Macaca fascicularis: one gene and its partners. The protein of the gene in region 3 purifies or fractionates together with the protein of the main gene of each other region. This does not show direct contact. Links are inferred from orthologs where the notes say so. Each region holds a gene or a part of one and is shown on either strand. Other genes may lie near its edges. The genes, in order: MTCL1, CNOT1, CAPZA2, WASHC5, CRACD, TWF1 and KIAA1671.

Region 1 (4,090 bases), on a different chromosome or scaffold from region 3:
AGCTCATCTAGATAAGAAGAAAACTGTTGGGTTAATGAAGCATTCAATGAAATATTAAAGCCAGAAGCTTCAGCCTGAAATCATTCTTTTTGGGCTCTTCAGTAGCCTCACTTCTTTGTAGGCTTCTACTCCACCAAACACTGAGAGGTGGGCGACATCTCAGGATCAGCCGTGGAAAGGCCTCTCCTGGCGTTACCGGCCACTCCCTCTCTCCTAACGAGCAAAGCCGGGAGAGAGGCCGGGCACACTCGGACTTGTAGGTAACCAGTTTCCTCACATCCCTGCCCACACCACAGTTTTGGCTTTTCAACAATAAAGCCGTCTCTCCATCCTAGGACTCTCTTACAGAGAACAGTAAAACTGCAACATGATCAGGTACCCAAAGCGTGCATTCCCCGCAAGATAGATCAGCAGCTGTTGTCTCTTTCCATGATCTCTCTCCCTCATTCCTGTAGCCACGGAAAACTTTCCATCCGAGTCCTTAGGAAGAGATGGAGGGTGTGTGAAATGAGAGCCCGAGACACGCTGCCATCTCGGAAGGGCTTTATTTCTACTTCATCACGGTCTCATACAGACTCAGAGGCACCAGCACATGGTTCCATTTGGTATCCTCGTGCCTTTTTGTCGTGTTTTCCCTTAAGAAAACTTGGAGTAAACTCTGTACACTGCCAGTTAATCTTTTCACAATAATTTAAAAATGTTGCTGTTGGATCATCGATGCAAGAAGACCAACAATAAAAGTACAGTACAAGGAAATTCACAACATATTACAGTGGAACAGACTGAGTCACATTTAGGTGATGGCGAGGACACAGTAGCGGTATATACATGCACCCGAAGACGTGCAAGCCAAGTAGCATAATACAAGGATCATACAATGAAGTTTCTAAGCCCACTGAGGGCTTTGTACCTTTTCAAAAACGTCCTGTATCCCCTCCAGTATACAGAATATCTGTCTTGTCTACTAGCTTCATGGCTTTTTCGCTACAAAAAGTTCACTGAATCAGACAGTCTGAAGCATTAAAAAAGTCTTAAAAAACAGTAACACTGACAAAATAAAATTAACTTAATCCACTCTAATTCAACATGGAAATAAACTGAACCAAAATGTAACAGGGTAAATTTAACAGAGAGGCAGTCAGGTATTGACAGCAAGGGTGTTCAGAATCTCTTAAAATGTACATTTTTTAAAACTTTTATTTTTTAAATCTATTTATACCTTATTTACCTTTTCATTTAATATACTGTGTGTAAAAAAGATGGAGACAAAAATAGTTTTCTGAGCTATGAAAAAAATTAAGTTATTACAGGCACATTTACTGTTTCATTCTAGAAACATCTCAGTTTCACAGGTTGAACATTCAGCAGCTGTGTGTTTTTAAAAAACATTCTTTGACCTTGAGAAAACTAGATCTCTCCTTTTGGGCAGAGTTTTGTTCATGGCGATGGTGTGGTTATGCAAATTACAGTGAATTATACTGTGATAATCCATGCAAGCTTGCATCACGGTGTGGCTGCTCCTCGGGCGGCTCCTCGCCACCATGCTCCTCCAAGGACGTCGGGTCTCCGGGTGACTGAGGCTGTGAGGCAGTGGGGGAATGTGGGGCCCACCGGGACGGAGGGCGACGGTTTGCTGGTCTCTCGGGCCTGGAGAAGCAGGGCTCTAGGGATGGAGCTAGTGCAGAACAAGGTAGTTCCTTCAGAGCCGAGAAAGGGAGACAGGGTTACTCAGACCGGCAGTGTCACCAGCGGATGATTCCCCCAAACACACTTCTCAACAGACTCAAGTGAGATGAAGTACACACCACAGGCAACTCGTGAATATTAACGACGTTCTATGCTCATGCAGAATAACTTAAAATAATAAAGAATTCAACACATGTGACATGATCAGTGACATGAATGGGAAGAGACCAGTTATGATTAAACACAGCAATATTGTGAGATGAGTCAGCTTGCAAAGCTCCTTTAGAATTGGGTCGGGGTATACAGAAGACATGGCAGAGTGACTGTGGCAGCGGTCTCCACAGGCCACTTCAGCATATTCCCATCTGGTAGATCTCTTCATTTGGTCCTTTAGAATGATCTATTTAGCTACAGTGGACAAATGAACTGGTCCTATAGGGCCTGGATCTACTGGGAGCCCACAAAGGGACCTCTGATTTCATTCAGCTGTGTTAGCAATGGCAGTCGTCTTAAACGAACTCTGCTACTGTTTATTTGAAATTGACTGGCAGTAGATTAAACAAACTCCCACAACATGGCAAAGATGCTGCAGGCAGAAATTTTAATTTGGGTCTAGTTTTCTTTAATGACTCTTCAATTACAGCAGCATTTTAAAAAGTAGAATCAGAATGTACTGGTGGTTTTGTTTCAGGCATCCTAATGTTCTGAGAACAGGTGACGCAAGACACATTCAACCATGTGCAAATCACCTAGAATCCTTATTCTCAAGCTACTTTGTTTTTAAAGAATGTTGAGTTCCTTGTCCTTACTCTACATGTTACAAAACCAGGACACCCAAACTTGGAATTTGCTGATACACAGAAATGTAAAAAGCTGTGGCATGAGGAAACTGAGCTGCCCAGCGTGAAGCCCGCTGGCTGGAATGACAAGACACTGGACGCTGAGGTGAACTGAATGGAAGGCACAGGAAGGATGACAGAGAACAAGGACTCTCAAAGAAAGGAAGTGAGTTGGAGGATGTAAAAAGATGTGACAAGCAACTGAAAAGACCAGGATGAGGACAGCCCAGCCAGTGGTGCAGGGGAGCAGCAGCGGGGGGACAGATGGCTGCACGGAATGGGCAGTGTCACTCGGGAGAAGATGGAACATGGCAGAGACAGCATGGCCCAAGGAGAGCGTGGGAGCCACAGGCTTCCAGAAGAGCAATGGGGCGAGTGGTTTCCCTGCCTCCCTCTGGGGTCAGCAGACAAGGAACAGTGGCCCTGGAGACTATGCTTCATGCTCCTTGCTGCTTTTGTGGCTGGCACTTCACACGGCCACAGGGAGAAGGTTCTGTTCCCAAAGCATTATGCTAACAGTACCGTGACAACCAGAAACACCTCTCCAGTTAAAACTCCACCAGCCCCCAAGATGCAGACTAACTCAGGGTGCTCCTGTGTCATCTCACCACAGCCCACAGTGCTTGGCTGGGACACACGGTTTGGGAAATCTGTATCTGTTTTGTGTCTGTGCTCCCCTTGTTGTAAGAGTAGTGTGTGTGTTGTGTATTGTATATCTGTTCTGTGTGTGTTGTGTGTCGATGAAGCTGCTGTCATCGGTTTATCTGACACCACTGTATCCTGTTCCTCCTGGCTGGTGCTAAAGAGCAGGCTTTGTATGAGACCATTCAGTACCCCCTTTGCCAGCCTCTGCTTGTGAAGGAAGAAACGTTGTGAGTCTGCATTCAAGGGAATGAACCTTTTCCTTAGTAACACGCCAGCGTGTACAAGCAAATGATGCTGTGCTTTCCTGAGAAGCCACTGTGGTCGCTGCATGGCATCTTGTCCTGGGATGCCGCACCTGTAGCACGTTTCTGGGAAATGGCCCTCCCCCTGTGTTCCTTGTCATTTTTTTCACGGGGACACGTCTGTTGTATTTGACAACAGATACTTTTGTACTTAACACTTCGAGTTAAGGCCAGTGGATGAGGTGAGTGAATGACTATATCATCCTTGATCAAAAACAAAGTATATCTTTTCTCATGTGCTTTGACTCAGACTCTGAAAGCAATTCTGAGAGACGTTCTCAAGATATCTGGAGTGGGGATGACTTTGTTCTTTATTCATTCAACAAATATCTATTGAGCATCTACTCTGTCACCTACGGTGCTCACTTGGAAGGACAAGATATATTTGGGTTTATTCCTTGTGGTATGATTGTTGAAAAATGAAAAAAAAGCCTTATCGCATTAGGGTCCCACCTCATTTCAGCACATGCCAGTGCACATATGTAAGCAAAATGTTGGTAACCAGTCCTGGGTGGCTGGGCCCAAAGACCCCCTCAGGCAAGACCCCTGTGCCTAGGATGTCCCCTCCTGGCCAGTATCTACTCAATTCTCTGAAAGCAAATTGGCTGCAAATGTACA
Region 2 (4,268 bases), on a different chromosome or scaffold from region 3:
GCCATTCATTGGGGTAATGGGGAGAACAATTAATGAGATTTGGTTCCCTTTCCTATATTCCCACTGTTTTTAAGTTTCAGAAGAGGGATGTAGGGGGTGGGCTTTAGGCCTGGTCTAGTTTCCCTTTATTATAAAGAGCTGACCCCCATCTCACGCGGCTGAGGTGTGTAATCCCCAAAATAAGTAAGATGGTACAAATGCAGTCAGCTTTGGAATGAGTTTGGGTAGAGAAAAACAGAAACTCATGGGATTCCAATTGTGAGCCCTTCCCATGTTCCCAGACATATCAAATTCTAGCACATCCACATTTTTAATAACTTAGTGATTTTTAAGGTCCCCTGTCCACATTAAAAAAATAAGTTACATAATATTCAAACTGGCATTTGCTATTCTTTGGGACACCAGGAATGTCAGAGGACATGGAGCTATGCCCTCAGACAAGTGCATGGCATCAGCTGCCTCTTTATTACAAGGTACCAGTTTATGTACTTGCCTTGGACACAGCTTGCACAAAGCCAAGAAGTTCCAGACAAAGGTTTTCTCTTTCATGTATTTACACAAGTTCAAAATGATATTCACAGCATCTTCTAAATTTTGGCCAAGAGTCAAAAAAATGCATTTAAACTTTGGAACGTGCCCACATAAGACAGGAGGCTGATCCCAACAGTAGTTGGGGCAGATACCCGCAAACCAAAGGGCTGGGAAAGTCAGGAAGAGCTGAAAGGATTCTTCAGTTTGTGAACTCGGTGCAGTGAGACCTCTAGGCTGACACACGTACAACGGAGATGCAGTTTCATCTAACTGGCACCTGTCCCTTCCATTACTTGCTGGGCCTGCTTCTGTCCCATGCAGCACTGTGCGACCGACTGGAATAACCTGAAGGATGAAGACAGTTACAAATCTGTGATTAAAGAGTAGGCCTAACAATACCCTGCATCTCATTCAACTACTAATCACTGACCCAACCTAGAGACAAATAAGGTTTTCAGTCTCCAGTCTCATTCCTAGACAATTAAAAATTACTTTGAACTCACTTTTCGATTTCTGGGGCACAGTGTACAAATTCATGGTTCCAGAACTTAAACGCTGGGTTTTTAATCAGCTCAATGAAGGTAATAAGAAGACCCCAAGGATGTGGCCTATTTACAATCAACCGTTCCAAGAGAACTCTGGGAAAGGGGAGAAAAGAGCTAGTTAATGCAGAGAAGAATACAAATTCATGATGATTCTTCCATTACCCTTTTTTCTAACTTCTCCCTGATTATTAAACCACAGGCAAAAGTTTTCACCTTTAGTAGTAAAGACAGGTGGATTAATCAATATACTCCAAATGGCATGGGATGGAATACCTGGGTTTGAACCTTGCTCTTAGCCCTAGAAGACTAAGTATTAATGTCAAGTGCAGATAATGGTATCTACCTCAGAACTGTTCAGAATAAGGGGTGATGGGGGAGAGGAAGCCACATAAAGCCCAGAGTACATGGCACACGAAGTTAGTACAAAAAGTAATTTCCAGAATAAGCTCCCAGGCCAGGCATAATGGCTCATGCCTGTAATCCCAGCACTTTGGGAGGCTGAGGCAGGTGGATCATCTGAGGTCAGGAGTTCAAGACCAACCTGGCCAACATAGTGAAACCACGTCTCTGCTACAAATACAAAAATTAGGCATGGTGGCACATGCCTGTAATCCCAGCAGTCGGAGGCTGAGGCAGGAGAATCACTTGAACCTGGTAGGTGGGAAGTTGTGGTGGGCCGAGATCATGCCACTATACTCCAGCCTAGGCGACAGAGACTCTGTCTCAAATAAATAAGCAAGCAAGCAAGCTCTCAATGAAAAGTAAGGAAATAGAAAATAATAATTCTAACACTGCAGGCTGGACGCGGTGGCTCACGCCTGTAATCCCAGCACTCTGGGAGGCTGAGACGGGTGGATCACAAGGTCAGGAATTCAAGACCAGCCTGGCCAAGATGGTGAAACCCCGTCTCTACTAAAAATGCAACAAATTAACCAGGCGTGGTGGCAGGTGCCTATAATCCCAGCTACTCAGGAGGCTGAGGCAGAGAATTGCTTGAACCCAGGAGGAAGAGGTTGTAGAGAGCCGACATTGAGGCACTGCACTCCAGCCTGGGCGACAAAGCGAGACTGTCTCAAAAGAATTCTAACATTGCTAGTGCATGTGTAAATTGGTAAAATTTTTCTGAATGCCAGTATTGGCTTTTATATCCTTTCACATACCAACTGTACATGAAGCATAACAAAGATTACAAGCCCAAGGAGACTTACTGCAGCTTTATATAAACAAAATGGATCATCATCATCTAAGCATCCAATAAGATATTAAATTTTAGTACACAAAGGAATACCATATTTAGCATCATAGGTATTAGGCAAATGAGCAAGTTTTAAGAGTCTAGTCCAATTTTTAAAGTGTGTGTGTGTGTGTGTGTATATATATATCACAATCTCTCTAATGCTATATATAGTCTAGGCAATCCGGCAACAGATTCCTAACTATTGTTATTTCCTGTTATTGCTACTGCTTTCAACCCAGAGGTAATGAGGAAAAGTCCAAGGTCCTTAACACAGTCTTCCATAGGCATGCATGATTTAGGACTGGTTATCACCACCAACTCAGAGAAACTCCTGACCTTTAATCAAAATGTGCCTTGTGGTGTAAACTACTTTTCATTTAAGCCATGATTACGATTTATAATTCTCTACTTGTGATACATGTTCATCAGAATGAGTATTAGGAGGGCAGCAACCATCCCCATTTTGCTCACAATTGTATCCCACACTTAATACATTATTGGACATGTAAAAGATTTTCACTGAAGGCCAGGTGCAGTGGCTCACACCTGTAATGCCAGCATTTTGGGAGGCTGAGGTGGGCGGATCACTTGAGGTCAGAAGTTCAAGACCAGCCTGGCCAACATGGTGAAACCCCGTCTCTACTAAAATACAAAAATTAGCTGGGCATGGTGGCGGGTGCCTGGAATCCCAGCTACTTGAGAGGCTAAGGCACGAGAAAGGTTGAACCTGGGAGGTGGAGGTTGCATTGAGCCAAGATCGCACCATTGCATTCCAGACTCAGTGACAGAGCAACACTCCATCTCCCAAAAAAACAAAAACACCCAAACCAACCAAACAATAGATTTTCACTGAACACTGAAAGCATAGAGAATTTAAAAAAAAAAAAAAAGAATTTAAGATGAAAGGAAGAAAACCCTTTTGAAGCATTTAAAAAATAAGCTGCTTTCTTACCTTGTGATCTGTTCTTGGATGGCTTCCGTATTGGCCTCTGCAAAAAGGTACAGCATGGTGCAACTGAAGTAGTGAGTGTGGCTATTTGGGTACCGGAGCTGATTTGCAATTGCATTCAAAAAGAGATAGCGACCTAGAAATTAAGAAACCTTGACTTAGGACTTAGACTGAAAGGCCAACATGGGAAAACAGTTCTAACTGGCTAGGGTTTGGGTTTCTGACAGAGGCTTTCAAATTAATCTTTGGTTTAAAGCAGTGGTTCTCGGGACCCCGAAGAGTTCTCATTTCTGTGAGTTTTATTTCAGTATTTTCCACATTAGAAATTAGGTTTTTTTAAATATTCATTTTTAAAAACAGACCCACTATATGCTAATATAAGTAACATGAACTATTTTCTGGTGACACTCATCACTACGTTTTTCTACATTTTGCAGATCTCTAAGTCTTGCTTAATAAAAGACAACTGGATTTTCATTTCTGCTTCTGTGTTCAACTTGTTACAGTATATTTCATGTAACCTCTGAGAAATTCAACTGTATACATGACAGAATAGACCCAAAAATGTAAATGTTGTTTTATGATGAAAACAGTTTTGGGCCGGGCGGGGTGGCTCACGCCTGTAATCCCAGCACTTTGGGAGGCTGAGCCAAGTGGATCACTTGAGATGAGGGGCTCAAGAACAGCCTGACCAACATGGTGAAACCCCATCTCTACTAAAAATACAGAAAATAAGCTGGGCGTGATGGCACGTGCCTGTAATCCCAGCTCCTCGGGGCTGAGGCAGGAGAATCGCTTGAACCCAGGAGGCGGAAGTTGTGGTGAGCCGATATTTAGCCACTGCCTTCCAGCCTGGGTAAGACAGCAAGACTCTATTGCTTTAAAAAACGGTTTTTGACCTCACAGCCCTCCTAAAAAGGTCTTGACACCCTAAGGGTACCCAGCACATTTTGAGAACCATTAATCTAAACTACATCGGAGTAAGTATTATCTTAATTTGGTTTGG
Region 3 (4,318 bases):
TTTTTGTATTTTAGTAGAGATGGGGTTTCTCCATGTTGGCCAATCTGGTCACGAACTCCTGACCTCACATGATCTGCTGCCGAGACCTCCCAAAGTGCTGGGATTACCGGCGTGAGTCACCACGCCCGGCCCCAACTGTTCAATATATGTTTGTTTAATGAGTACAAAAATGAGCTTCTTGAGAACAGAAGTTTCTCTTTTTATTTCAATAGTTTTGGAGTACAGGTGGATTTTTGGTTACATGGGTAAGTCCTTCAGTGGTAATTTCTGAGATTTTAGTGCACCCATCACCTGAGCAGTGTACCCTGTACCCAATATGTAGTAATTTATCCCCTCCCCAGTCCCCAAAGTCCATTTTATCATTCTTATGCCTTTGCACACTAACAGCTTAGCTCCCACTTATAAGTGAGAACATAAAATATTTGGTTTCCCATTCCTGAGTTACTTCACTTAGAATAATGGCCTCCAGCTCCTTCCAAGTTGCTGCAAAAGGCATTATTTCGTTCCTTTTTATGGCTGAGTAGTATTCCATGATGTATATACCCACATTTGCTCTATCCACTCATTGGTTGATGGACACTTAGGTTGGTTCCATTTCTCTGTAATTGCGAATTGTGGTGCTATGAACAGGCGTGTCTAGCTTGTTTTTTTCTCCCTCAACACTATAGCCCCAGAGACTAACACAGTGCCCCGCACCCCGTTAAAGGACCAGAAAATATTTGTTGGATGAATAAAGGAATATATAAAGAGCAATCTTTCAATTATGGAGCGGGTCGTGTGTGTGTATTTTAATGAAAGCCGACTATTTAATTTTTTGTTTGTTTGTTTGTTTTTTGTTTTTTGTTTTTTTTTTGAGACAGAGTCTCGCTCTGCCGCCCAGGCTAGAGTGCAGTGGCGTGATCTTGGCTCACTGCAAGCTCCGCCTCCCGGGTTCACGCCATTCTCCTGCCTCAGCCTCCCGAGTAGCTGGGACTACAGGCGCCCGCCACCTCGCCCGGCTAGTTTTTTTGTATTTTTTAGTAGAGACGGGGTTTCACCGTGTCAGCCAGGATGGTCTCGATCTCCTGACCTCGTGATCCGCCCGTCTCGGCCTCCCAAAGTGCTGGGATTACAGGCTTGAGCCACCGCGCCCGGCTATTTAATATTTTTTTAAAAACAATGTTTAAAAAGCTTCTATTTGTCCACCTTTTCAGATTTTAGCTGGCAGAGTTCAAGACTTGATAGAAACATAACGAAGGGCTCAGAATGTACTCATCGCAGACTGAGCCCATATGGTCACTGTGGGGAGAGAACGTTACACTCACGATGCTAGCAAGCCTGCTGCAGGCGGCCCCGGGAGACAACGTCCCCCGCCCGGCCACCAGGCACCCGCGCACGCGCACAGCCGCGCTCAGTCCCCGAGGGCCGGGTCGAGGGAGGCGGGGCTCTCGGGGCGCGTGCGCGGCGACCTGAGCGGCGGGCCCCTCCCTTAGCGGGGGCGCGCGGCGCTGAGGACCGCACGGAAGCGGGGAAGTCAGGTGGCCGCTGCCGCCGCCGCCGCCGCGGTTTGTCGCCAGAAGGAAGATGGCGGATCTGGAGGAGCAGTTGTCTGATGAAGAGAAGGTAAGAGTCGTGGGGGTGGCGGCGCCGGCCGTCGGGAGCCGGCTCAGCCCGGGCGGGTGGGCCCAGAGTCTGGTCGCGGGGGATGGGCATTGGCTCGCAGCTGGCGGTGCCCTCGTCTGCCCTTCTTCCCCCATCCTTGCTGCGCCGAGTGCCTGCCCCTGTCCGTCACCCGAGGCCCCGCGCGGGGGCAGGTCTTTGCCAGGCCTGCTCGCTCCGCTCCTTGTAGGGTGTGTACTCCGAAAATAGGAAGCGGGAGCCGGGCGACGGCGGGCGGGGGCGCGGGCGCGGGGGAGGGCGGCGGCTGCCCGGGACTCTCTCCTGCTATCCGGCCGCGGAGCCTGCGCCGGGGGCCGGGGACCGGGGACGCAAAGGGGTCTGCGTCCGTGCCTGGGAGCGGCCCAAGGGCAGTGCCCAGCGCGGCGGCCTGGCCTGTGAGTGTAGCGGCGGGTGAGGGGGAAGGGAAAAATCGCTTAGGAAGCAGACCTTCACTTCTCCCTTCTACTTCCCCCTCCCCAAAACAAAACGCTTCCTTTTCTGATTCTCTACGGTTTATCCCTTTTTTTTCCCTTTCCCTATGGAGGCCTCTCTCTCTCCCTCTCTCTTTCGTTTCATGGCTCTAGCAGTAAGCTTTGCAGCTCCCATGTTCCCCGGGAGGCAGCGGAGTTGCTCACAAAAAGACGACCCCCTCCCCATAGTTGTTTTCTGCCCACGTTGTCAGCATTCTCCCCGGGGGTCGATTTGGTGTCACGTCACCTTCCTGCTAGGACTTCTTCCGAGAGGGGAAATTGTTCTACTCCTTTTACTGTATGTCAGATGCTGTGACAGCAGTGGAACCAGATGAACTACTTAAGTTCTCAGATATTTAAAAGGAGCAATGGAATAATTCATTGAACTGCTGCTCTCTTAATTCGCCCCTTTCGTTTGGCTTTCGTGAACGTCCCATTCCTGAGGGTGGTGGGATAGGGGAGAACCCTGCTAATTTTGACTGTTTCTCGGAAAGGACACTGACGTTTCTCAAACTTAGAAGTAACTGACAGAACATACGAGTGAGTTAGTTGTAGGGTTGGAAATGTCCACTCTTCGTTAAAGAGTGCTCCATTTTTAAATTTCAAAGCAGTACAGCCAATGGAGGAAAATACAGGTACATTTAGGTACGTTGTGGTGTTTAAGAAATCCTCGTGTAAGTCTAAGAATATTTTCATTTGGGACCCTCTGCTCTAGGTGTTTTTATATGCTGTGTTCTTGCACCGAAATAGAAGGTTCTGTCCCATTCCCAATGTGAATGGTCAGAAGTCAGCCTCATCTTTATTTTCGGAAATCTGTCTTTCTCTTGTGTTGTTTGGTGAAAGTGATAATACAACAACAAAATGGGGGCGAGCAACGTCTCCATAACCCACAGACCCAGTAGGCAGATCCCTGTATCCACAAAAGTTGCTATACAGTATTGAATGTATAATCTTGGTAAATAACCCTAAGTAGGTGACTGAAAATGTACAGGAGTGCACAAACGCATATTTAAAATTGAGTCGTGCTAAAAAGCTTAAAAAGAGATTGTCGTGTTTTTATTCTACCATTCTTAAGTGGTGATTAGTAGCTCAAGTGGCTAGAAATCTAGCTGAAGAGAGAATACTCAGTGTGGGAGTTAATAAGACCTGCCATGTGTTGTAAAGGCCTAAAATTAAAAAGTTTTTTAAAAATGAGATAACAAGATGCCTTATTATCCGGCACTCTCAGGGCACTAAGCTTCATAAAGAGGAATGAGGAGGTTCTATGTCTTAAAGCCTGCGCCGCCTAGTAGCAAAATGTTTTATGGTTAAATGAATGAAAATTCTAATTTGATTTTTGGTGTTTTGTAAGAATATTATGTAGATATTTTACATATAAATTTCATCACTATATTTACTAATTTAAAAACTGAGAAAACTTTTAGGTTAAATTCAAGTAACCAGTTAAGTGAAATTTTAACGTTCTTGTCAATTGAGATATCTAAAGGTTGTTTTCATTTTGGGGCAGGAGGATGTGTCCAGTATGGGATCAGAAAACAGAGAGGACTTAAAAGTGATATTTTGATATTACTCTTTCTACGCCTTATTGGTAATTTTCAAAAATAAGCTGTCAAGCTGGGCATGGTGGTTTGCACCTGTAATGCCAGCTACTCTGGATGCCAAGGTATGGAGGATTGCTTGAGCCCAGGAGTTGTAGACCAGCCTGGGCAACAAAGCGAGACCTCATCTCTAAAAAAAAAATACTAAGTTTTGAATACTTTTAAGTTTTTGAGATTTCCATTCTAGATTGCAAATCTGAGGAAGGGAAGCTGTTAAGATGTATCTAGTACTGTACTTTATATATGCTTGGCTCAGTTAGATCCATTCATTACTTAATTTGTTGTTGTAAGAGGTAGTTGTTCTATTTCCATTTCACAGATGAGTAGAGTGAGGTTCAAAAGCTTTAAGTAGTTCACCCAAGGACAGTCAAGATGAAGGTCTTGTTACATTATGCTCTCTTCTTTTTTTTTTTTGAGACAGAGTCCCCCTCTGTTGCCCAGCCTGGAGTGCAGTGGTGCAATCTCGGCTCACTGCAACCTGTGCCTCCTGGGCTCAAGCGATTCTCCTGACTCAGCCTGCTGAGTAGCTGGGATTACAGGCACGTGCTACCATGCCCAGCTAATTTTTGTATTTTTAGTAGAGGCGGGGTTTCACTATGTTGTCCAGGCTGG
Region 4 (4,010 bases), on a different chromosome or scaffold from region 3:
TGTAGACATTATGGTTGGCATCTAGTGGGCAGAGGCCAGGGATACTCTCAAACGTCCTACAATACACAGGACAGCCCTCACCCCCACCCCACAGGAAAAAATTATCTGGCCTAAAATGTCAATAGCGCATCAGTTGAGAATAACTGATTTAAATCAATCTCTCTTGGATCCCTTCCCATGTAATAACACTGATCTTTTCTTCCCAATACCTATGATCTCCAAGAAAGTTTAGAACAAGTTGTGCATTTCCTGAGTTTTTTCTCTGCATGTTATTTATAGACAATATGCTGACTTCCTTTAAATCCACGGGAACCTTGTACAAGTCAGCCAGAGCTGCCTCTCCTTTTTCAGCATGCAAGGCTATACCCTTCTCTCTGAATCCTTCTCATACAATTGCTTGTTCCCTCCCCCATGCTACCATTATTCCTATCACATGCACATGTACACAACACACTCCCATTATGAAACTCATCACAACTATTTGCTCACATGTCTGCAGCTTCTTTACACTGAAAGCTCCTTAAACTAGAACCCTGACATATTCTATTGCATATAAAGCAGTTCTTCACACAAAATAGGGGACCAATAAAGATTTGGCGAGTTACAAAAATAACAACAGACATCATCATTTCTCGGTCACCTACAGAATGCCATAAACTGGTGTCCTGGCACTTCATTCTCCTTATCGCTAATTCTCACTGCAATCTACATAAGTGAAGAGGAAACTGAGGTCCAGAGAGTTTATTCAAACGACCTTCCCGTGGCCTTACTTTTAAAGTCAGTTCAAACCACATCTATTTGGATCAAAAATTCGTGATCTTGCCCTTACACACTTGTGGCTAACGGATGGAGAGATGGCGCCTCGGACAGGAGGGTAAACTGTCCCAGACTCACTACTGTGGCGTGAAAAGGGCCACAACCATAATCCAGGTCGACGAATTCCCGGCTCGGGGTCCCCGTGGAGTGTCCCTGAGGGAGGCGACAATTCCCGCCACCTTCCCCATTGCCGTCCCCCGCTTCTTCCCTACCTGGTTGTCCGAGTTGTCTCCGTCTGGTGGCACCCCAACTTTCCCTACTTGTACCCACCTCCTTTCCTCAGCCCCCTTCGCCTGTAGCTGAAAAGTGAGCGCGGGCTCTTGCGTCATCATCCGTCGCCGGCGAGTGGTCACATGATGCCCCTCCCTGCTCACCGCCGCTTCGGTCATGTGACCGTCCTGGAAGTCAGGGGCGGAAGCCCGGCTCTGACCCGTTCCAGGTCCGGGACTGGGGATAGAAGAGGACCGCCGCCGTGAGGGAGGGGTGGAACCTGGGTGCCGACTCCGCGCGCAACCTCCTGCCCTGCGCGTGCGCCGCTGGCGCGGCCCGGCTGACAGGTGAGTGGGGATGGGATGAGCGCGCCCCATTTTTGCATGGCCCCTTTCACCTCCCCGCTGGGCCGTGCTGGCCCTGGGGAGGTCTCCAGCGTCGCGTGCAGCCTGGACGGGGGACTCGGGATGGAGGGCTTAGGGGCTTTCTGGGGCGGGGGCTGCAGTCCAGCTCTTCGTCTCCGCTTAGGGGGAACTCATTTTGCACACTCCTTCCTCGCTTTAGGAAGCACCGTTCAGCTGGCTGCTTGGTCCGAATCTCATCCTTCCAAGTTTCCGGGAACACTGCAGTGTGGATGTCGTCGTTATTTCTCTCTTTGCTTTTGAGAAAACTGAAAGGCTAGTAGTGAGGACTTTTACAGCCTGACGGACCTGGATTTGCATTCTAGTTATGCCATGGGCTGTGAGTTTGGGCAAGTCATTGCTGCTCGCTGCGTCTTAATGCCTTCACCTGTGCTAATGCCAAAATCCTTTGCATTTGGCGGGGGGGGGGGGGGGGGGGAAATGTTCCCAAGGCCCTGATTCCTCTATGATCGGACAGGAAAAAGAAAAAAAGTCACAGAGTCGTAGAACTGGGTCTCCTGATTGCAAGCGCATGGAGCTCCCTCAAACATAGGTGAAGGGTAGTGAGGGAGAAGTTTTCCTGTCTTTGCGCACAACAAGGGACACCTTCTCTAATTGTCCTTCACCTGCCTTTCCCAGGATTTCAGGTTAAGCCTCATGTCAGAACTTTTCTGGAAAACATATGCAGCTTGCATTTATTTTGACCGACAACCATTATATTTTGTTTGTGATAATGGATTTGTGGAGATCAGTGCTTCCTTTATGGAACTGAGGTTTTGCGAAAGGCTAAATATAGACCTACCTTCTTTTGTCCTCTGAAGGGGGTAAACAGTGTTTGTCCACGACAATTCGATTTCCTTAAGAAATATTATTCTGCACGCTGGGTAATTGGTATAATGATGCCATGCCTCATTCTTGAAAGCATGTCTTTTGATTAGGATTACTTCCCAAACTGAAAATCACAGTTCCACGCCAAATTCTTAAAAATGAAGTTACTGGCGCTTGTAAAAGAAAATAAGAGAATATAGTGGGATCTCTGGATTTCATGCCGATAGTAATACAGCCTGTATTGAGAGAGCTGATCTTCAAGTTTTCTTAATCCCTAGCACGAAGAGAACCTCTGAAAGGATAATTTACCATAGCTTCTTCTACAGAGTTTAATTGGACCTAATTCTAAAGTGGTTTTTTAAGACTTAACTGAGTCTTAACACCTTGTAAAGCCATCCACATACCTCTTAGCTGCAACTTGATTAGGCATTTTTAATGATGGTTCTTAGATTCTGTTCTTCAGGACTAGTCCTTCAGCCAACGAGGGGGCTATTTAACAATTACTCTAGCCAAATTATATTTGTGCAAATTATGGAAATTCCATTTGTTACATGGAAAATATAACTAGTCCAGGTTAGGAGGTCTAGTACGTAAAATGTAACTAAGTGATTTCCTTCTTTCATTTAATCTTGTTTTAACTTCTTCCATCTTCAAAAACTTAGCAGGAGATGCTTGCATTATTAGAAATAGAAAACACAAGTGCCCTTCATGGGGCCAAACAGATTACAAGCAGTGAGTTCATTTCACTAAAAGTATATTAAATATAACATATTTTGCTTTCGCGTTAAAAATTTAATATAAAGTTTATATATTGAATTTTAGAAAGGCGATTTATGTAGGTAATAAAGACCCTACTTTATATTTGTTTTACTATTTGTTTTACTATTGCCAAACATATTTGATTATTATTATCCTTCTCATGTTCTTTTAAAGTTGTCTACAATGTAATTCTTGAGTAAAGACCTAAGGATTAAAATAAGAGATTGACACACGAAAGTCTTGATTTCTGTTGTTATCCCAGACTGAAGCTTCCCTGAATGTGTGCATGCAGGTGCTGAGTCTGTCTGTCCTTCTGTATGTTGGGAGAGAGTAGAGTAAAGGGAAGGTAATGTTACTTTGCTTTAAGATGTTTTTCCCAGGTCTACATTGTTGCCCTGTCATGGTATCCAAAATCAGGTAGCTCTTGGACCTGTTAATCATCGCTTGCCCTCCTCTTCATGAGTCTAGAGCAAGCTTGTCTAGCCTGAGGCCCACAGGCTGCATGTGGCCCAGAATGGCTTTGAATGTGGCCCAAGACAAATTTGTAAATTTGCTTAAAACATGAGTTTTTTTGTGTGTGTGTGTGTGTTTTTTTAAGCTCATCAGCTATTTTTGGTGTTAGTGTATTTTATGTGTGGCTCAGGACAATTCTTCTTCCACTATGGCCCAGGGAAGACAAAGATTGGACTCTCCTGGTGTAAAGTTTCATCCTACTTAGACCTTCTGGGTTAGTTTGGTGGTCTTCAGAGGGCTTTAGGAGGTGACTGTTTTGCCCATTGTCCATTATTTCCCTTTTCCCTCTCTCCTTTCCCAAGCCAGACCATCTCCATGGAGAAAATGAAATGAAATTATCTGAAATTCAGCCTGTTAGAGATCAGTGTGATTTAACAAGCAAGTATCACAGAGGAAACTAAAAGAACTTGTTAATAATGTATGCCTTAATGTGTATCAGAGGGTACCTTCATGAGAGTTCTAGACAGCTGTAGTGGCTTCTTG
Region 5 (3,548 bases), on a different chromosome or scaffold from region 3:
AGCCTAGTGGGGAAAACAGATGCCCTATTAACCCCTGGGAGGGAGCCTGTTCAGAGTCATCCATCCTCCAAGTGATTGGTAATAAGAAGATAGTTGGATATATTACATCATTTTACCTTTTAACCAAATAAAGAATATTTTCTAAATGTGTACATCTCTTACACGTCATGAACATATAAAAACTGCTGTTGTTAATTAACATCAAGGACACTGTGCTGAGAAACCTTACTCTGTAAAGTCACAGACTAGCAGAAACCTGCTGCGTGAAATCACACCAGTGAGAACAGACCATTTCACTTTTGCCTGGAGCATCTGAGCCAAGTGTCACCATGACATAGAGATGCAGTTTCCATTTCCAACCCAGGTGCAGAGCTCCGGGTAGCAGTTTTCAGATACAACATTTTACACATTTATCTTTTCTGTTTTTGTTGTTTTTGAGACACACTGTCGCTCGGGCTGGAGTGCAGTGGCACAATCTTGGCTCACTGCAACCTCCACTTCCTGGGCTCAAGCAATCTTCCCACCTCAGCCTCCCAAGTAGGTGGGACTACAGGTATGCACCACCACACCTGGCTAATTTTTGTATTTTTAGTAGAGACAGGGTTTTGCCATGTTGCCCAGGCTAATCTCCAACTTCTGGGCTCAAGCAATCTGCCTGCCTTGGCCTCCCAAAGTGATGGGATTCCAGGCATGAGCCACCATACCTGGCCCACATTTATCTTTCTTTTCTGTATTTTTAAAATTGGTGTATATATATATACACACACACACACACACACACACACACACACCATACTTGTATATATTTTGGGGGTACATGTGGCATTTTAATACATGTAAATGATGTGTAATGATCAATCAGGGTAAGTTGGATATCCATGACCTCAAACATTTCAAACATTTATCTTAACTTTGTAGTTTTAAAGGAAACAGAAGCCTGAACACACTTTTCAGCTCAGTCTTCATATTATCTCCTTTATGTACACCATGGCTTTGATCTGACTTATTAAAACGCTACTCCATTTAAATTTTACCTAAACTTCACCCTTTACCCCAAGTCCTATTATAATTTTGTCTCTTCCCTTGTTTAGAAGGTTCTTCTGTAAGTTAATAAACCCAACTTTGTCAGAATATAGGCACAGGGTGCTGGAGATGGCTCATACTGCCGTGCTAAACGTTCACAAATGTAGAGAGCCAGCTGACATCATATTGGTATAACAGCTTTGAACTGGCCAGGGTTCTCTATTTACACAGAGAAATTGAAGATGCTCCAAACAAAGGTCTCTCTACCCCCTCAAGAGCTAACTGTTAAGTATTCACCAACACATCACTGATAGTGGGTGAGTTCCTGGTGGTCTTTATCAAGAGCTTAATCAGTGTCAACATTTATGAATGAGGTTATCAGACAGCCTGTGCTTTGAAATGCTTGAGGTGCTCTGCTAGTCATTACACTGTAGGATATAAAGCACGCTCTACAAAGAGAAACCTGGAACCACAGTTACAAAACAATGGACCTGCTCTCTACCTGTCACAGACGTAGGAAGAGTGTTGGCCTTTTTCAGCTGTTCTCTGCGCTCAAGCCTGGACACTGCAGTCTCGGGCCTCTTCTCTTCTGGCAGAGCAGTGGACTTGTGCAGGGAACCTGCTCTGCTGACACTGCTGCTTCCAGGCTGCGGGCTGACACTGACCTGCATGGGCAGAGACAGTCATGGGAAGCATGTTTTCAACCTAAGACATGGAAAGACTGACCCTGCAGGCCTTCTGGGCTTCTGCCTGCCAGCCCCTGACCTCTGCTTCCAATGGTGGGCTGGATTACATGTATGCGCCATGTATGCTCAACCATGGCTCCCGGTGAGGGAGCAGCTCAGAGCCAGTGTGCCTAATAGGGAAAGTTACTTTCCCAGAAAAGTCCCACCAAACTGACTGTAACATCAGGCCACGGAATAAGACTCCTGGTTTCCTTGCAAAAAGTTTGTTTCTCACGTAACTTGTATATCACTGCTGTAAGCACATCATGGATTATGGCAAATCAGGTTAACCTAAGAGTATAAAGAAATCAAATCCAATTTCACACTGAAAATGCTTCCCTGGTTTAATGGTGGTCAGTTTATTTACTGCTCAGTCCTCTCTAAGTACTTTCCACCAGCCCAGCTAGCCTTTTGTTTTGTATCCTTGTGACTGAAAAGAGAGCTAAGCTGAGGAAGGCAAAATCACAGCTAAAGCCCAGGCTACTCACATTTTCTTTGGAGAGCTTTTCTGCCTGTTTGGCCTCTCTGGCTTGCTTCCTCTCCTCCCGTGTCGCCTGCTGCTCCCGAAACCCCTTTTGCTTTTGCAGTGCTAATGTTATCCAAAGCGGCTGGGCAGTTTCCACTTTCTCTGTAAGTTTGGAGCCATCTAAGGAGTGCCTGCTCTGAAGCATTGGCTTCTCTGTAGGGAACAAGACAAAGGCCGGTTTACAGTGAACTTAACTGCTGACTTATCTCAGTTCCTCACCCCCTAAAACTTGTGACATATTAATAACCCTATGGCATATTCAGCTGGCCCCTTCCTAGCACAAACTCTGTGCTGATGCCTGAGTGGCTCCACTGGGTGGGAAGGTAACATGTTTGATCATCAGAAAAACAAGGGCATTTGTCTTCCCTAGAAATGGAAGAAGTTACTCCGTTAGAAAAAACTAAAATAAATCTCCAGGGTCATAAAATCTCAGGCCTCCAGGGGATCCAGATAGGTATTTGGTTCATTGTTCTTTTTTTGATTCATTCCTTTTTTTTTTTGAGACAGAGTTTTGAACTGTCACCTAGGCTGTAGCAGTGGTACAATCTTGGCACACTGCAACTTCTGCCTCCTGGGTTCAGGCAATTCTCCTGCCTCAACCTCCCGAGTAGCTAGGATTACAGGTGCCCGCAACCACACCTGGCAAATTGTTGTATTTTTGGTAGAGACGTGGTTTCACCATGTTGGCCAGGCTGGTCTTGAACTCCTGAGCTTAAGTGATCCACCTGCCTTGGCCTCCCAAGGTGCTACAATTACAAGCGTGAGCCATTGCACCCGGCCCTAATTAACTGCTTTAAATGAAATTTATTTTTAGCCATGGAACCATGGTTTTCCCCTCAAAGAACATACTACGTGGAACTCCAAAGTTGGAAAGATGAAAAAGGGGCACCACTCTGCCTAATGGAGCAGCTGAGGAACACTGTGGGAAGCCCATGATTTTGGTCCACTGCCCTCATTTAATAGATGTGAGTACTCCAGCCACCAAGTGCCATGCTCATGGTCACTCAGCAGTTAGTACACAGGCTTCTGAAGCTAGAACATAGGCCTTCTGACTTCAGTCTCTGTTTTTCTTATGGTTGACTGTCTCACCTATGTAACTGGGGGTGAATACCTCACAGGGGATTGGTGTGACAGGTTGAGCACTAGGCTCTGAAATTGAGCAGACCTGGATTTGATCTTTGATGATCTTACAAAAACTACTTAACTTCTCTAAGCTTTAGTTTTCTAATCTAGAAAGTGGAGATGATAATGGCGCATGCCTTATTGGGTTGCCA
Region 6 (4,224 bases), on a different chromosome or scaffold from region 3:
AGGGTGGCCCCAACCTAACCAGACATTCCTCTTCTTTAGGACTGAGCATATGGTGGTCTTTCTCAAGGATGAATATAGAAGGATTATATTTTTCTCATCTGTACTCTTGAGCAACGCCAACTTCCTTAAGCAATTTCCCTGAGATATGAGGATATGAATCAGTTAAAACACTGCAAGTCAACTCTGCAATTTTCTCTCTGCTCAGCGATGTAGTAAAAAACTGGTAAATCAGGGCGAACCATTGTGTCAGGAAGAATTGGGTTAGAATGAAACTCCTCCCTACATTTCTTAAATCCATACAAGTCATAAAACTCAGATTTAGTTTATTACCGAATATAAGAATATGTCTGAAAAACAGAGCTCAGATAACAGGGAATAGACCATAACCTTGTTTGCTGTGATCCTTGTAAAGAAAAACAATTGCAGGCCTGTGAATTACTCATTAAAAATACATTGTATAGTATTTGAATAGTGATTAACTCGCACTTTTATTATTGACCTGAATAAATTACTTGTTCATTAGATTATAATTTTGTATATGTGTCACTTCAAGGCCCTAAAAATAAGAACTAGCTTCTCACCTAGTAGCAGTAGAGAAGCAGTACCAAAAAAACCCAAACTCCCCCCAAAACTAACATTACCTTTCAGGAACTATATGTTTGTAAAAGCCGGAATGGAAAAGATTTTAAAGTAATACCTGCTGTTACCTTACAAATCTGTCCAAGTGAATTTTGAATAATTATTGGATTAAATAATAAAATGCCAACCTAAAGCAGAGCAGGATTTGCAATGGTATAATCGACCACAGAGGGATACTCAAATCAGCTAATCTCTTAGTGGCTGTCTCTTTTTGGAGTGAAGAGAAAGATACAGTGAGTCTCTAAATGTGTCCAACTGAAAAGAAAAGTTAACAGTCTGAGATTAACTCAATTTAAAATCGTGGAAAAATTTGATGAAAGGCAGTCTATAATATATTCTTTCAAAACAGTGGAGCAAGGAGAAGGCTCTTCTACACTAAACGGTATCGATTATAGGAAGAGTAAACCAAGAAAGATAATGTGCACATCTTTTTTAAGCTGAAAATGCCTATTTGGTAAAATGATCATTTCTGTTTTAAAACATCCCTTCGCTGAGGCAGCGAATGGCGGCGTCGGCGCGATCTTCAGAGGGCAGACGTCGGAGCACGGAGCTGTGTAGATTCTGCGGCATTTCCCCCCAGGGAGAAGCGGGAGAGGCGGCGGCAAGAGCAGAAGTAGAACCCCAAACAGAGAGCTAAGGTCGCAAGGCCGGGGGTTGTACTGCAGCCCGACTGCCAGGAAGGGCGGTGGGGCGGTCGGGGCGCTCGGGCACTCAGTCAATCTCACGGGGCGGGGCGGCCCAGGGTCGCGGGCGGATGACGCGCCGGGACCGGCGGAGGAGCAGCCACTTCCTGGGGCCGCCGGCCGGGGCCGCTCGCCGCACTCAGCGCCGGAGCCGGGAACTAGCGGCCGCCGCCATGTCCCACCAGACCGGCATCCAAGGTAACAGAGCCCGGCGCGACCCGCAGGGAAGGGGCTCCCGGGAGGCTCGGAAGAGCCCGGAAGGCTGCAGGACGGGCAGGGCTGGAGTTTGGCCTGGACCTCCGGAAGTCGGTCTTGCGGGGCGAGCCGGGCCTCGGCGCCTCTCCGCGCTCTTGCTTCCCGGGCGCTCCCGGCCTGCGTCCTCCTCCATCCCGGTTCCTGCTGCCGCCACGTTGCAGATGGACTCGAAATTCGGGGGAGCGAAGGAAATTGGCTTTCGAGGCGGCCTGGTTGAAGGGGGCGTGCCTTCCACCGTCGCCGACATTAGCCCAACTTTCCCCCTTTTGGTCAGGTAGGGAAGAGCTGGGACAGTGGAGGCGACTGGGGCTTCCCTACGCTGTCGAGAGCCAGGCGAGTTTTCCTTTTCATGATCCAAAGGAGAATATTACAGGACTTTGATTACGAAAAGAAACATGCCAGAATCTTTCTCACATCAGTAGGGGTGCTTCCCAAAACTCTCCCGCACTTTCTCCCCAAATAGGAAAGTGAGAGTTGTTCTGAGAAATCTCGAGTGTAGCGTGTTTGTGTTTTGATCTTTTTCCTAGGTACTCCCCAAGGGAAACTGATCTGTATAGTTGCATGTAATGCGTGCAGACAGTTCAGTGTGCAGTTATATCTGACCTCCATTATTTCCTGGTTTGAAATTGGGCAGCCTGGAGGTGCTCACCTCATCAAGAGTCAAATAATATATCCCCGGGTTACTCGCGATCACTTAACGAGTTCTAGTATAAACTCAAGCTTTTACTGTTAATAGCGAGTATTTCTCCCAGATGAACACTTAATTGTATGTTTTGTTCTTAAAGATTTTTGACACCACGCCACATACCCCCTGCATGCACGCAGAAGCAAAATAGTATCAAATCTAAAAGCGTTGTTTTATTTATCCGCATTAATTTCGATATATAAATATGTCGTTATTGACTCTCATGCTTGAGCCTTATAGCAAGCACTACCTACTTACATAGTGGTTCTTGCTGCTAATAGACAACACAGGAACGAAATTAGAACGAAATCGAAGCTTTAATAGGAACACAAGCGTTAGTTATTAAATACATATTTATTCAATGATTTTAATCTAGCTTTTGAGAAATGCAAGTTAGAAAAATATAACCAGAATTAAGACAATGCATTTTACTGTCTTTTTCTTTAATCAAGTTAGGATATTTGATATTTACTGTTGTTTTTAACGGGAAAATACAGAAAGTGAATTGATGAAGGAGTGTCATAAGCTTGAAACTGAATTAGAGAATGAAAGCAGGTTTTCAATATTTTTCAAAGGAGCAATAAAAGTTTTTCAAAATTGTAATTTGCTCATTATTGGGTTTGAGTAACTTCAGTATATTCACCCCAGTGTTATTTCTGCACAGAATTATATAGCTAAAACAGATTAGAATTATTAACATACTTTTAAAATGCTAATATTTATATTTCTTAATTGTATACAGTCTTCATTATTTTATGCGGTAAAGTTTTATAATACTGATAATAAGGATGCTACATGCTCCAGATTTTTTCTTTGTGTTCTAATTAATTTTTTCAATATAGATAGGAAAGTATTTATATGTAAGTATAAAAAGTTTACTTTCTTTATCTTTTTCCACAGCGAGTGAAGATGTTAAAGAGATCTTTGCCAGAGCCAGAAATGGAAAGTACAGACTTCTGAAAATATCTATTGAAAATGGTTAGTTAAATATTTTAAAATATTTTTTGTTCCTGGATTAGTGGTGGCCGTTGTATTTTTAAACTTAGTGTGTGTTCTCAGTGATTTGAACTATTAATGTGAAGCAAGTTCAAATCTTCCCTTACAGTAACTTGGATTCCTCATATTTTGTGCAGGTCCCTGTGGGCCCCTGATTTCCTTCTGAATTATGTGACTATCAGGGAAACAGAAAGATGTTTTTTGATGTGACTTCTTCCTCTTTTACTTTTTGTGTCTTAGTTTCTGCACCACAGTCCATTTCTAATGTCAGTGCTTCCATCTCTGGAATGGAAATCACTAAACAGGTGATTATCAAAAAAAAAAAGTTACTTGTGAATTATTCAATAAAGTTTGTTTTTAAATACAAACAAAGGATTTCAAACTCCCATTTACTCCATTTGATTGCAACCTTTGCTACAGAAATGATTATCACCCTTTCTTGTTTTGGGAAAGTTCTGAGAATATAACAAACTACAAATTGATCCTTTAAAAATAATTCTGTAAACAGGGAATCTGGTTGAGTGGGAGAATCTTTTAAATCAGGCAGATTTGAATTTGGACAATTACTACTGTTATAGCTACTCAGTCACAAATGAATATGTTAAAATATTCCAGCGGCCTAATTTCTTAAATATCTAAAAATATTTTGCTTTGGAAAAGTAACTTGTTCTTTCACAAACTGGAAGTAAATCTAATTTGTTTTCTGTTTTCTGCTTATGTATTAAAAGTACCACAATAGTTGGTAAAATATGCATTTGTTTACATATAACATTCAATAGGAATATATGTATATTGTAAAACAACATATTTTAAAAATACTGAGGTAAAATTTTTAATACCATCACTTCCTAAGTGACCAGTTAAGGATCTAAAATGGAAAAGTTAATCTAACTAGCATCTCTACAGAAGGAAAATGGCACTACTTCCTAAATTATTATTTTCTGGTTTTACTTTTTTGTTTTGTGA
Region 7 (4,135 bases), on a different chromosome or scaffold from region 3:
CTTTCACTGTGATCCACAGCACCCCACGCCCCAGGAATAAAGTCCAAACCACTAAGCATGGCTGGCCTGGCCCCAGTCAACACCCTAGGCACTCCCCTACCTCCAGGCTTCTGCACAAGCTGTTCCACTTCTGCAGTCCATAACACCAACCTCTTCCCACTGGCTGTAGAGAAAACTAAACTCTCTGACTCCCATCCCTCCTCACAGCCAAAGGCATCAGCCCCTCCTCCTATGATCATGGTTCTCCCCTTCCAGACAAGTGCCTATGTTCACAAAGACTTTCAGGGCATAAAATATCCCCTTAAGGATGTGGCTGCTAGCCTCATCTTTGATACAGTGTCTTGAAAGATTTGTTGAAGGAACAAATGATAAATAAATGAATGAATGCACATATAAAATATCCCTGTGAGGCCGGGCACGGTGGCTCACGCCTGTAATCCCAGCACTTTGGGAGGCCGAGGCGGGAGGATCACCTGAGGTCAGGAGTTTGAGACCAGCCTGGCCAACATGGTGAAACCCTGTCTCTACTAAAAATACAAAAATTAGCCAGGCAAAATGGCAGGCCTCTGTAATCCCAGCTGCTCCAGAGACTGAGGCAGGAGAATAGCTTGAACCCAGGAGGCGGAGGTTGCAGTGAGCCGAGATAACGCCATTGCACTCTAGCCTGGGCTACAGAGCAAGACTCCATCTCAAAAAACAAAAGAAAACAAAACAAACAAACAAACAAAAAACAGCCCGCAGGACCTCCATGGGGGCAGGGGCAGCTTCCAGCCTCTGAACCTAGGGTGAGAACTGTATCCCCAACATCCAGAATCAGTACTAGACTGCAGGGCAAGCTGACTGCTCCATAGCTGGAAAATAACTCTAAGAGGACAGATCCTGAGTTGCCCTAGGCCACACCATTTCTACAGTGCTCCTGACATAGGTGCTCAGTACATGCTGGTTGATGGAGCCAGCCAGTTCATATGCCCAGCTGAAATATATGCCCAGACACTGCATTGAAACTCTGCACTTCTCTTGGTTAATTGCACCCTTGACAAGCATGCAAATCCTTTAAAAGGATCCCCCTGCCAGAACCACCAAGATCTGGGCTTGTGTCTGTACAAATTCCTCAGGAACTGTCCCTGCCTGCAACAGGAAGGAGGGAGGCGCCAGAGTCTGGGGGTACACACGCATGTTTGTCCAGAAACCTTGATGGATTAGCAGAGGGAAAGCCAGGCCAAGGGAGAAGCCTTGTCCAAATGTCCTGGTTACTCATTAGCCAAACCTCAGAACTTCTCTCTGCAAGGGGGGATCAGAGGGGCAATTAACCCATTTGGAAGAAAGGTTAAGCTAAATAGCTCTCTAATCCTGCAGTTTCAAAGACAGCAAGTAGGGTTTCTGGAATCTTTAGATACTGTAAGGCAAGCACAGGGGATGGGGCATGGGAAAGGAGAGGCCATAGACTGAGGGAGGCACTGATACTTATAGAGCCCCTACCTGTTTCATACCCTTCATTCCGATCCATCCTGCCAGTCTCCTAGAAGAGGGAGGATGCAGACCCTCCTAGGCCAAGCTCATTTTGCCCAGAAGGTCCCTATCTGGACTCAGATAAGTGTTCTGCCCAAGGTCACAAAGAAGGTGCAAAGAAAGTGTTTTTCTTTGTGCAACAGGTACAGTCTTTTCCCTTCCAAAAAATAATGGCTGCTCCTGGCTACAGAAAGTTCAGTGCCGGCGGGCAGGAAGCCCTGGCCACCTAGGCATCGCGCGGCGGAGGTCACACGCCTGCTTCGGGACTGGACGAAGAGCAGGGTTTTAAGGCGCGGCGCCCCCACTCCCAGGCAACTGTGTGCCAGGAGGGCGTGAAAAGGTCTGGCTCTGGTGGGGGTCAACGAGCCGCTTCCCATCCCGGGAGCCCCACCCGTGAGACCGGGTGGGCCGCGCCGCCATCGGGGCGGGGATCACGCGGGCCTGCCTGGGAACAGGGGGACTGAGGCTTAATCTCATCAGGGCGCCTCCGCCCTGGAAAGACGAGCGGAGCGGGGCGCAGGCCAGGCCGGGAGGACGCGTCCAGAGCCTCCGCGTCCGAGGGGCCCCGCGCGCTGCCCTTCTCACGCCCCCCGAACCACCCCGCCGTCCTCCGGGCTCCCCTCGACCCAGACTCCATCTCGCTCGCCGCCCTAGCTTCCCACTGTCCACCTCCGGGGCCTCCAACCCGCACAGATGTCCAGACCCTAACAGCTTCAGGCTGAGTAACCCAGATCTCCAGCGATCCCTCAGCTCCCGGCCACCGGATCTCTCTGAATCCATTCGCAAGGCTCAGGCTAGCGTGGGAGGAGATTGATCCTCTCGCTCCCAGTTCTGAATCGCCCTCTGCCGTCACCCCTGACTGGGGATCCAGTGGGACCCCAGGCCTCCAGCGCCCGATCCCCTGCAGGGATCGACTCCCAAGTCGCCAACCGGGTGGCACGTGATCCATTGGCTGCCCTATGCGGGATCTTCCCGCGGGATCCACTCTCAAGTCTCGGGAGACGGATTCCCCGGCTCCCAAACCGGGATCCTCCCTCCCCGCAGACCCGGAGTCTGGGGAAATCCTCCCGGTCCCCGCCTCTTCCCCAGCCAACTTTGCCAACTTTTCTCCCGGGGCCTCGGCCGGGCAGAAACTTGGCGGCCCTCGCCCGCCGCCGTCACCCCCAGCTACCTCGCCGGCCGGGGACAGGAGGTGACCAGCCGGCCCCCATTCCCCACAGCCGCTGCGCAACCTACCGTGGAGCCACCGCCAGCCCGCGCCGCGCCGCCACCTGCCCGCAGCCCGCGGCACCTGCCCGCTGAGCCCGCAGCCCCGCGCAGCCTAGCCTGCTGGGGGCGGGGCCTCGGGTGGGGACGCGCCCCCGTCACCATGGGAACTGCGGCCGGCCGCGCCTGCGCGGAGGGGAACAGAGCCTGCAGGACCCGAGGCGGCAGTGGCGCCTGGGCCTGGGACCTCTCCGGCGGGTCAGAGGTCACGACTCGCTTGGACACCCCTGCCGGAAGCGCTCCCGCCCCTCGAGGCCCGACCCGGCTCTGTCCAACTGGGAACTTTGCTCCCGGTCCCCTCCCGCGTCCCCTGGATGTTCCCCAGTCACCAGCCAGGATTCCCCGCCACCGGCACCGACCCGCTGCCCAGCCGGCGACCCCGAAAGCCTAATGCAACCCAGAAATTAAGGAGGTGCTCCATAAATGTGGGCCCATTGACTTGCCTGGGCTGCTGGTGCCGGCCCGGGGGCGGGCAAGGTCTGTGCGCGGTGCTGGCGCCTCCTCGCGCCAAGCAAGGGGACTGCACCCGAGAGTTCCCTGGGGCGCCTACTGTGTGCGAATCCTCCTGCCATTGTGTTGTGGATTTGGGTTGTGGGGTAATGGGTATAGGAACTTGTGACAAGTTGAGAGAATCGTAGGAAGTCGCCTCTGAAAGAAAATACCTGTTCTGTTATCCTTGACTCATTTCATTCAGCAGATCTTTATTAAGCACCTGTTGTATACCGGGTCCTGGAGACCCAGTGGTGGGCAGCTGGCAAAATCCAGGCTGTTGTGCAGCTTACAGATATTGAAACAAATAATTTCGCGAGTATATCGAATTGACTCTGTGACATGTGCTCCTATGGGAAATGTACAGAGCATAAATAACTGGAGGACCTAAAATCAATGTGCCTTTATTATAAGCAAGATAGACCTCAATAAAGCTGAAAAAGAAAAGGATATCACAGGCTGTGCGCGGTGGCTTGTAATCCCAGCATTTTGGGAGACCGAGGCGGGTGGATCACCTGAGGTCATGAGTTTGAGACCAGCATGGCCAAAATTATGAAACCCCATCACTACTAAAAATTACAAAAATTAGCTGGGCGTGGTGGCGGATGCCTGTGATCCCAGCTACTCGGGAGGCTGAGGCAGGAGAATGGCTTGAACCCGGGACTTGGAGATTGCAGTGAGCCAAGATCGCACCACTGCACTCCAGCCTGGGCGACAGAGCAAGACTCCGTCTCAAAAGAAAAAGAAAGAAAGAGGCCGGGCGCGGTGGCTCAAGCCTGTAATCCCAGCACTTTGGGAGGCCGAGGCGGGTGGATCACGAGGTCAGGAGATCGAGACCATCCTTGCTAACATGGTGAAACCCCGTCTCTAC

Evidence for each region.
Region 1: the proteins of CAPZA2 (region 3) and MTCL1 purify together in Homo sapiens (affinity purification with mass spectrometry; 3 studies listed by BioGRID and IntAct, counting the BioPlex papers as one, with this or other methods). This does not show direct contact. The link is inferred for Macaca fascicularis from reciprocal best matches to the Homo sapiens genes CAPZA2 and MTCL1.
Region 2: the proteins of CAPZA2 (region 3) and CNOT1 purify together in Homo sapiens (affinity purification with mass spectrometry; 3 studies listed by BioGRID and IntAct, counting the BioPlex papers as one, with this or other methods). This does not show direct contact. The link is inferred for Macaca fascicularis from reciprocal best matches to the Homo sapiens genes CAPZA2 and CNOT1.
Region 4: the proteins of CAPZA2 (region 3) and WASHC5 purify together in Homo sapiens (affinity purification with mass spectrometry; 3 studies listed by BioGRID and IntAct, counting the BioPlex papers as one, with this or other methods). This does not show direct contact. The link is inferred for Macaca fascicularis from reciprocal best matches to the Homo sapiens genes CAPZA2 and WASHC5.
Region 5: the proteins of CAPZA2 (region 3) and CRACD purify together in Homo sapiens (affinity purification with mass spectrometry; 3 studies listed by BioGRID and IntAct, counting the BioPlex papers as one, with this or other methods). This does not show direct contact. The link is inferred for Macaca fascicularis from reciprocal best matches to the Homo sapiens genes CAPZA2 and CRACD.
Region 6: the proteins of CAPZA2 (region 3) and TWF1 purify together in Homo sapiens (affinity purification with mass spectrometry; 3 studies listed by BioGRID and IntAct, with this or other methods). This does not show direct contact. The link is inferred for Macaca fascicularis from reciprocal best matches to the Homo sapiens genes CAPZA2 and TWF1.
Region 7: the proteins of CAPZA2 (region 3) and KIAA1671 purify together in Homo sapiens (affinity purification with mass spectrometry; 3 studies listed by BioGRID and IntAct, counting the BioPlex papers as one, with this or other methods). This does not show direct contact. The link is inferred for Macaca fascicularis from reciprocal best matches to the Homo sapiens genes CAPZA2 and KIAA1671.

What each region holds. Positions count from the first base shown.
Region 1 is NC_088392.1:77,249,810-77,253,899, reverse strand, and holds the end of MTCL1 (microtubule cross-linking factor 1), read right to left. Parts: intron 1,698-4,090; coding exon 1,464-1,697; 3' UTR 527-1,463; downstream 1-526. UniProt on the Homo sapiens protein: Microtubule-associated factor involved in the late phase of epithelial polarization and microtubule dynamics regulation.
Region 2 is NC_088394.1:54,624,357-54,628,624, forward strand, and holds the end of CNOT1 (CCR4-NOT transcription complex subunit 1), read right to left. Parts: intron 3,399-4,268; coding exon 3,266-3,398; intron 1,170-3,265; coding exon 1,035-1,169; intron 877-1,034; coding exon 798-876; 3' UTR 537-797; downstream 1-536.
Region 3 is NC_088377.1:158,309,105-158,313,422, forward strand, and holds the start of CAPZA2 (F-actin-capping protein subunit alpha-2), read left to right. Parts: upstream 1-1,473; 5' UTR 1,474-1,563; coding exon 1,564-1,602; intron 1,603-4,318. UniProt on the Homo sapiens protein: F-actin-capping proteins bind in a Ca(2+)-independent manner to the fast growing ends of actin filaments (barbed end) thereby blocking the exchange of subunits at these ends.
Region 4 is NC_088382.1:134,751,240-134,755,249, reverse strand, and holds the start of WASHC5 (WASH complex subunit 5), read left to right. Parts: upstream 1-1,194; 5' UTR 1,195-1,373; intron 1,374-1,590; 5' UTR 1,591-1,767; intron 1,768-4,010. UniProt on the Homo sapiens protein: Acts as a component of the WASH core complex that functions as a nucleation-promoting factor (NPF) at the surface of endosomes, where it recruits and activates the Arp2/3 complex to induce actin polymerization, playing a key role in the fission of tubules that serve as transport intermediates during endosome sorting.
Region 5 is NC_088379.1:77,533,663-77,537,210, forward strand, and holds part of CRACD (capping protein-inhibiting regulator of actin dynamics), read right to left. Parts: intron 2,428-3,548; coding exon 2,237-2,427; intron 1,689-2,236; coding exon 1,526-1,688; intron 1-1,525. UniProt on the Homo sapiens protein: Involved in epithelial cell integrity by acting on the maintenance of the actin cytoskeleton. Positively regulates the actin polymerization, by inhibiting the interaction of actin-capping proteins with actin.
Region 6 is NC_088385.1:50,420,192-50,424,415, reverse strand, and holds the start of TWF1 (twinfilin-1), read left to right. Parts: upstream 1-1,423; 5' UTR 1,424-1,495; coding exon 1,496-1,520; intron 1,521-3,162; coding exon 3,163-3,240; intron 3,241-3,498; exon of another isoform or gene 3,499-3,563; intron 3,564-4,224. UniProt on the Homo sapiens protein: Actin-binding protein involved in motile and morphological processes. Inhibits actin polymerization, likely by sequestering G-actin. By capping the barbed ends of filaments, it also regulates motility.
Region 7 is NC_088384.1:26,514,509-26,518,643, reverse strand, and holds the start of KIAA1671 (uncharacterized protein KIAA1671 homolog), read right to left. Parts: upstream 2,833-4,135; 5' UTR 2,746-2,832; intron 1-2,745.